2 linked regions of the Solanum lycopersicum genome follow. Each later gene encodes a partner of the first gene's protein in a complex. Links are inferred from orthologs where the notes say so. Each region holds a gene or a part of one and is shown on either strand. Other genes may lie near its edges.

Region 1 (4,245 bases):
TTACTTATCTTCTAGCATTGGGATAGGCATTCATTGTCTCAAGAGATGTGAGAGCGCACAACAAGAGAAAGAAACAAGCAGAAAATGGGTCATTTGAAATTTGAGACAAGTTGGCTTTAATCACAAAGAGACTGGATTTGCTAGTTGGCTCAATCTTTTGGGTGTAATGGTGGGGAAAAATGAGCAGCGGGGTTTGAATAGGTTTATGTGAAATTATAGGCTTGCAATGGTGGAGAAAGAGGAAGATGAATTGAAAAGTATCAATTCCCAAAAAAAAAAAGAATTTGGATTTGATAGGTTTCTACTTTAAGTGACAATTTTGTTTGTGATGGTGAAGAAGAAAAAGAAGTGGAACCTACAATCAATGGAAGTCAACAAGAATTTGAAGAGTGGAGATGAGGTCGTGCAACACCTAATTTTGTCCATGTCGGCAGAATTTATGTACACACTCGTTTTGAAGGAGCTTATTACGTGTATATTTAGCAAGCACAGGTGCTTACCAAAACCTTCAATGCCCTTGTGGCAAAAAAAAATCGGCAAGATCTCAAAAAAGAGAAATTTATTGAATTATCGTTTGTAAGTTTGTTCCCAAACCTAATCAGACCTCGCCCTTAGGGTAAAAAGAAAAGCTCCAACCAGATCTTATAGCAAAGAGGAATCAATTGTATTCTTGTCTTTGTTCCCAAACCTAATCAAAACCCTCGCCAGCTTTTATTTCTAAGTTTCCCCTTCCATTTTCCTTTCATTCATTTTTTTGACTCCCTTACTTTCAACAATGATTTCCTATTACAATGAGGCAACTTGGCTGCCATTGATGCTTTTGCACTAATCATGCAAAAGAAGGAACTTGCTTATAAAAAAATTACTCCTTTCATCCTATATTTAACTTTTAAATGCCCCTTGCCTATTCAAACCAACACCCACCCACCTTATCATTCCCTTTTTTCTTCCTTCTGTTGGGTCGAGAAGATCTACACAAAAAAAATTAAGAAAGAGGTAGCCTCTCAATAAAAAGGATAAATTTCTAAAAAGGCAGACCGGCAACAAGGAGGGACAGAATTGGCATTCAATAGGAATATAGGACAGATCGATCTGCTAGCTTCTCCCATCTCTCATTTTAGACAAACTTCATAGAGAAGTACTTGTTGTTACAGGTTCATCTGCTTTGTCATCATCAGCAAGTAATAAATCATCTCAGGCTTCCTTCTGGTTGTTCGTCTTCCACCACAAAGATAGCAATAATAACATATGTTTCAAGTTAATTTGTGTTGTATCACCTCAAAAAGAAGCCCGGCTTCCTTTGAAGATCCACCAAAACCAAATAGAAATAAGCAGAAGTGTCTCCACAAGAACTGAGTGAATTTTACTAACATTGACGAGGTGGACAATAAATAGATATATATTGGATTAGATGTGCACACAAATTGAACTCCTCTAACCATAAGCAGTTGGTTAAAAAGATAGTTTTTATGCTATACATAAAACAATATGGTTTAAGTAACTCTACATAGTTAATTTCTATTTTAATGTAAGGTAAAAGCAGACAGAAAGAAAACACAATGAGATAAAGCAATTTTATGACGCTCACCAAAGGATTAACATTGGCCAATCCTGTGCCTTCACCAGAGGCAAGAAATACTTCATTCTCAGCTACCTTTACATCTTTCAGGTGATACAAGATCTCTGTCGACCGAAAAAACCACTGGATCTTTACCTTCCTAGACTTGTCTGGATTTTCCCATATCTTTATGATCTTACCAATGTAAGGATGTTCACCTTCTTTGTGCATGTATACACAGTCATATAAAGTATACTCCACACCATCATAGATAAAAGATTCATAAAACTGCACCTCCTTTCTCTTACCACCAATACCTCTCTTTCTACCCCAGACAAATTCAACTTCCTCATCCTTATCTAGACCCACTAGAGACTCTTCTTTACCAACTTCTACCAAAGCCATAACTGTCTCCACTCACAGACCACTCTACTTTTACCACACGGATTCAGCCCTCGAGGATCCTATGATGACTGCTTCCACCAAGATGCCCAGCTTGAGCTGAAATGCAAAATACATTAAAAGGCTTAATTTTTAGTTATATTAATGGAGTAGCAACAACTAAAATAATGTGGCAGTAAAATCTAATACACATAAATGCATAACAGACCAAAGATATACAAATATTCCAAGAATTAAATACTCCAAAATTAATTTAAGCTAATCATAATTCCGTCCATGAGTGATGATTATAAAAATTAAACAGGCAAAACAAACAAATAAGAAATTCTAGAATGTGCATGCTTACAAACATCTAGAAATAAAATCAATGCATCATTAAACCAGCAGACATGTCCATTCACCAAGGTCATACCAACATTGAAAAGGAAATACTGGAAAGCAAACGAAGTAATAACTCTACTTCAAAGCCTATTTTCTAATTCGGTGCAAAGGGACTTACAAATGTTCAACCGAAACCCTAAGAACACCTTCAATTTCGAGCAATCCCGACGAAGATATCTCTGGGCATATGTAAACTCATTCACTGTCGAGTTTTGTGATATTAATATCGTCCTCCCTTTACCCTAGTCTTAGGAAAACCGCCGCAGACGTGACAATCAATTGGAGGGAAAAGACAGTCAGTGCCGAAGGAGATGGGCGTTAGATTGCTTCACTTTTTAAATAGACAAAAATTAATCATGATTCTAAATATGTTTCACCTTATTTAAATGTATAAGAAATTATATTTGTTGGTATATTTTACTTGATTGAGGTAGTTTTTAGTGTATAATAAGATTTGGATGGATAATTTGGCTTAACGGATATTGATTTTAAATTTACTTATACACTAATTAGCTTATAAAATATTGATTGATTCAATTAGGAATTAGCACAAGACGATTATCGAATGATATATAACTTATTTTTCTTATTTTAAATAAAGTTAAATTATAATATATATATATATATATATATATATATATATTAAAAATGGTATAGATGGATAGTCATATAATATGTTTTTCTTAAAAAAATCGAACTAGTAATGTAATAGTTTATAGGGATAATGCCCAAATACCCCCTCAAGCCCGAAATCCCAGAGACACACTTATACTATACTAAGGTCCTATTACCCCTCTGAACTTATTTTATTAATAATTTTTTACCCCTTTTCGGCCTACGTGGCACTATCTTGTGGGTTCAACGATGGTTGACTTTTTTTTTCAAACTAGTGCCACGTAGGCAAAAAAGGGGTAGAAAATTACTTATAAAATAAGTTCAGGGGGTAATAGGACCTTAATATAGTATAAGTGTGTCTCTGGAATTTTGGACATAGGTTGAGGGGTACTTGTGCATTATCCCTAGTTTATAGGTTTTTAAGTTTTGGTTTGCGGCCTTAGGACTAATAATATATAATTAGTAATGTAATAGTTTATAGGTTTTTAAGTTTTGGTTTGCGGCCTTAGGACTAATAATATATAATTATATATTATGGAATTCAAATAGTGTTATAGATATAGTATCATTTAGTTCTAATTTGCAGCAAACACTTTGTCATTCGTTTTTTTTTTTCTGAATCTCGCTCGTCACTCTTTGGTCGCCTCTCTCACTGTATATGAATATATAAATTGTATTTGTGTTTGTCTAAAGCAAGAGAAAGAAAGTTGTATATACAATACAAATAGATATATTTTCGTCCTATACAGTTATCGTTATACAAATTTCATGCACAGTTCTCTCTTGTCTTTCTTGCTTTATACAAATACAAATTATATAAAAAAAATAATAATGTATAATTTGTATTTATATAAAGCGAGAGAGATATTTTATATACAAATATAAATATTTTAATTTGATTCAATCTAAACAAATTCAAATTTTATGCAAATATTCAAATACAAGCATTGATACATACACAAAGTAGTTACATATTAACTAATATACACATACAGTCATTGCAATTTTATACAAATCATATGCCTGAAAATCATACTCTGCTATTTATACAAATCAAATGCTTCATAGCAAACTATCAAAACTGTCGTTGTATAGCGCTAATATGATTCATATTTAAATTATTCCTAAAATTTGTTCAATATAAATAATAATGTTAATACACTTGAGTTGAAAGTGTACGCATGTTAACTCTTAACAAATTCAGGTTTATCTTATGAAGAAATAGAATAAATTTACCCCCACAACAATAAGCCATTCATTATAAAATTATTATTAGTTCACCAACCTTT
Region 2 (4,211 bases), on another chromosome or scaffold:
TTCCATGATGAGTAATAGCAAATTTCACCTAAGCAGAAGCAATTCACCAGAATCTTTAGAAAAAGAGGTAAACCACAGTTCACATAATTTTGATAACAAATTACTGGCGACTCAAAAATATAATCTTAGTGCCAATCATGCTGCAACCAACTTAACGTAGTTGAAGGGTATTATGTGTATTGGGAAATGACACATTCGTGCTGGAACACCATGATGATGGCTGAAGTGAATCACACCAGCATTCTCAGCTGTCCTCTCCAGTGATTTCTGCTCTTTTGACCGATGGAGCAAAGTTGCAAAAATATGAGTAGCGGAAGTAATCATTACGGAGTTGGGAAATGACACAGCAGGGAGGGACTTGGCTGTAATATTAGAGAGGTTCATCGAAAATGGGAAATAGAAAATAGTGACTGCAAAATAGATTGCTGGGGATTACTCTATTTCTTATTTGATTGAATTTGGCGTTAGCAACTTCTCTTGGGGTCTTCCAAGGTCCATGGACGTAATCTAAACTACAAACGGGCGGAGTTGTTCTATGACTTAGCAACAGCAAAAGGATAATGGAACGTACTCTGATGTCTTGGAGTAACTTAATGAGACACATTTTCTGGAAGAAAGAATAATTAAGTCCTGTAACTTCTCGATACATTGGAATTTTCAGACTTAATTCTGGATATAGATCCGAGATTCCATTGACAAGAGGAAGATTCACTTGGCTGATTGGAGAAACATAGGGAAGTTTTACAAGCTCGAACAATTTCAATCTCAGTAAATTGGGAAGAAAAATATGCAAATACAAGGGAGTCTTTACTACTGAGACTTCTTTATGATCACTAACCAATAATGCTGGATTTGAATAGATAATCAAGACACCTATCAGATTTGAGAACATGCATTTTGAAAGGAAGGGTTTGAATACCAAGTAAAGAACTGGTTGGATTCAAAGTCCAAGAAGTTGACAAATAGGATTTATCATGAATCTAAAAGGAAAACTGAGTAGATTGGCATCAGTAAAGGACACAATAGGGAAACATGAAAATGTAGAACATGGTGGATCAAGAAACCAGGCAAAAACACTAGATTTGGTATAGACTGGAAAATACACATCGCTGCTACTACAGTATCTCCAAATTGTTCATTACTGACAGAATAATTGAAAACACAAATGAGAATTAGAATGAAATCTTTTACTTCCAACAGTGGAAGAAATTCATCTTGCCGGTTTAGTAAAAGAGAAAACTTAAGTAGAGAGTTAAGCAGTCATAGAAGCAGAAACTTCACCAGCAGGATATATGCTACCATGTCGAATAGATGCACAACGGGTTTATATTGAAAATGTTGGGTGATAGCCGATAGGTAAGAGAGATGTCCTGACAGCCTTCTATCTTCAGGATGGACTAGATGCATCTTCAAGAAACGAGATGAGCTTGATTGAGCTACTAATTTCCACTCGTTGTAGCTCAAATATAAGTATCTATAACTATTAGATTAATGCCAAAGTTGTTGCCTTAGAGGTTAGAAGTAGTCAAAGTATCGGATGCACAGAACATATTTTTTGAGAAAGCCAGCAGAGTCGCATACAGTTAGTAAATGAATGTCTGGAAGTGGATTGAAAGAGGAAACCTATTACTAGCGTGTAAGCTGAATAAAACATGTAGCCATGTGAGCCGGGAAAGGAGGATGAAACAATGAGTCATCTCTTATTTGCATAGTGAGGTGGTAAAACTTGTAAAGATATCTGGACTATATTTTTCTTCCTGTGACTGATACGGCAATGCCTAAAGCCGCTATAAAGTGCTTAACCACCATGAGGTGCTTTGTGGAATTTTAAAAAAAGTATTAACTTAAGAACCTAACAGCTTACAAGATTCAACATCATGTAGGCAATAAATATGAACAAAACTAGACAATTTCAGAAGAAAGATTCGTAAGCTTTTGCAGCACCAACTTGGTGCTTCTAATGTAGTTGTGACTTGTGACTGAACTGTGCAAATGTGCAATTATTAATAACATTACTAACAAAATAGTCTCTACTGTCTTTTTACAACAACAGCAACAAACTCATTGTTGTAAATAATGTTAGGGAGGCTGTTCCGATAGACCCTCAGCTGAATGAACAAAACAAACAGTGAAAAAGAAAAGCTAATAGCAACAAGCAGAAACAACAAGAAGATAATAAGATACCGAGGCTAAAAAAATAACTAGCACCTAACAACATTGTTGTACACAAGGACATGATACATAACCATTATCTTTGCTACACAGAGACATAGACTATACCTACTTGTATAAAAATCACATATTTCAAAGCTCAACCATCATCCAAAATTCCAAATTACTCAGTAACTTCAAAATTTAGTACTTATGTAACTCAATTTACCCAGCAACATTTACAAGGCGTTGAGAAATATTCAGTTAAAAAAAAAGATCCAAATTTTTTTGTTTCAACAAGATAAAGAATCCAGTATAGTACAACCCCTCCATCTCCAAAATTGAGAATCAAGTATAATAATGAATTCAAGAACACAGATTAAATTTCTTCAACCAAACCTAAATCCCAAGTTCAAGAATCAATTTTTGGCCAAACCCACCTCCTCCAACCCCACAACAACCAAAACCCACAAAGTAAAACAAAAAATTAAAAGGGAGGGGTTTTCCGATGCTAATTACCTTTGAGTTTCGCCCAGGTTGATGGAACCTAACTGGAACCTTCTTCAGACCTTGGATTGTGCTATTATGGTGATTTTATAAATTTTCCGTTAAGTCTTAGGAAAACTTCTAAGTTCCTTTTAACCCCCAAAACTATCTTGAAAATTACATATTGGGTCCATATTATCATCTTTTTATAATTATAATGCGTAAGTAAACCCAATTTATGTTCGAAATCTCAAACACACACATACTATACTAAGGTCCTAGTAACTCTTGAACTTATTTTATAAATAATTTTCTACCCCTTTCAACCTACGTGACACTATCTAGCTCAACGCGTGTTGTCACATAAGCCGAAAGGGGTAGATATATATAAAATAAGTTCAGAGGGGTATAGGATCTTAGTATAATATAAGTGTCTCTGAAATTTCGAACATAGATTGAGAAATACTTATGTATTTTCCCTAATTATTTCAAGTATAAATTAGAGATTAGCTTAGTAGTGTAAATATTGTAAAATATCCGTACAAAATATTATATGAGTTAAATGGTAAAACTATATTTCAACTATCATATTTTTGCGAAGTCCATATTTCAATTGATCTATTCAAATTATTATATTTTGGTAGTTTCATATATCTACTATAATTTTCTTTATGTTAAAATACAATTCGTTTTTCAATTGACTACACGTGTCTGTTGTCAATTGAAATAATATTTGACTAACTCATCATTGAGGTGTTCTAATAAGAAAAAAGTGATAGTTTAAATAGTTAAAGAGAACAATGGATAATCAAGATATAAAACTTGTGAAAAACAATAATTTATGTGTTTCTTTCGGCCTCTTGTTGGGCAAAATTTATTTGTATATAATGTTTATATCAAATCATACTTTATTAACCCATAAGCATATTAGTTGATCGTCTTCTTACTTTCTAGTTTATAACGTAATCATAATGAGTGTCCAAAGAAACTCGGTTTTCCACCATACTATGAAACTAGAGTTTCCAAAGAGAATAATATATGAACTAGAAAAGTAAGTTAATTTTTTTTCTTATTTTCTTGTGTTCAATATATAAGTAAAATATATTATTCTAAGAATATATGCATAAAATCTAATAAATATCATGAAAAGGGCATTGAAGTAAGGTGGTGGAGTGAAGTTGAGGTATGCCGAGAGTGAAAAGGATACAATAAATGTGTAACGTCAGAAACATTATTTTTACTAGAAGAAAAGATATAAAGTCACCATTGAAGTTATTTCGGTTTTTAAAAAGACACTTTAACTTTGCGGGTGTTCTATTACCCCACAAAAGTATTGAATATCGTTGTAGAAGGGCCATTTAAGGCCATTTCCACACCTAGTCAGACGTGCATGAGGCTCGCGCTTATATTAATTCAAACCGATTCGTTTAAAAAAATGATAGTCACGTGTGATACACACAAGCTATATCTATATTTCCATTAAAACTAAAAAATGTTCCTAAATTAATTTTTTGCATTTTCACAAACATTTTATTTATTTATTAATATACAATCTCTGTTTATCTCTATTCTTA

The links. The genes of interacting proteins can lie anywhere in the genome.
Region 2: protein ANTI-SILENCING 1 (region 1) and ASI1-immunoprecipitated protein 1 share a complex: the UniProt entries of both Arabidopsis thaliana proteins name them as parts of the ASI1-AIPP1-EDM2 (AAE) RNA regulatory complex. The link is inferred for Solanum lycopersicum from reciprocal best matches to the Arabidopsis thaliana genes AT5G11470 and AT1G05970.

What each region holds. Positions count from the first base shown.
Region 1 is NC_090810.1:6,216,517-6,220,761, reverse strand, and holds the start of protein ANTI-SILENCING 1, read right to left. Parts: upstream 2,806-4,245; 5' UTR 2,460-2,805; intron 2,060-2,459; 5' UTR 1,964-2,059; coding exon 1,589-1,963; intron 1-1,588. UniProt on the Arabidopsis thaliana protein: Collaboratively with AIPP1/EDM3 and EDM2, the AAE complex regulates alternative RNA processing (e.g. alternative splicing) and epigenetic silencing (e.g.
Region 2 is NC_090809.1:60,241,399-60,245,609, forward strand, and holds the start of ASI1-immunoprecipitated protein 1, read right to left. Parts: upstream 2,804-4,211; 5' UTR 2,671-2,803; intron 29-2,670; 5' UTR 7-28; coding exon 1-6. UniProt on the Arabidopsis thaliana protein: Prevents gene silencing by suppressing CHG methylation as well as histone H3 lysine 9 dimethylation (H3K9me2) status at target loci.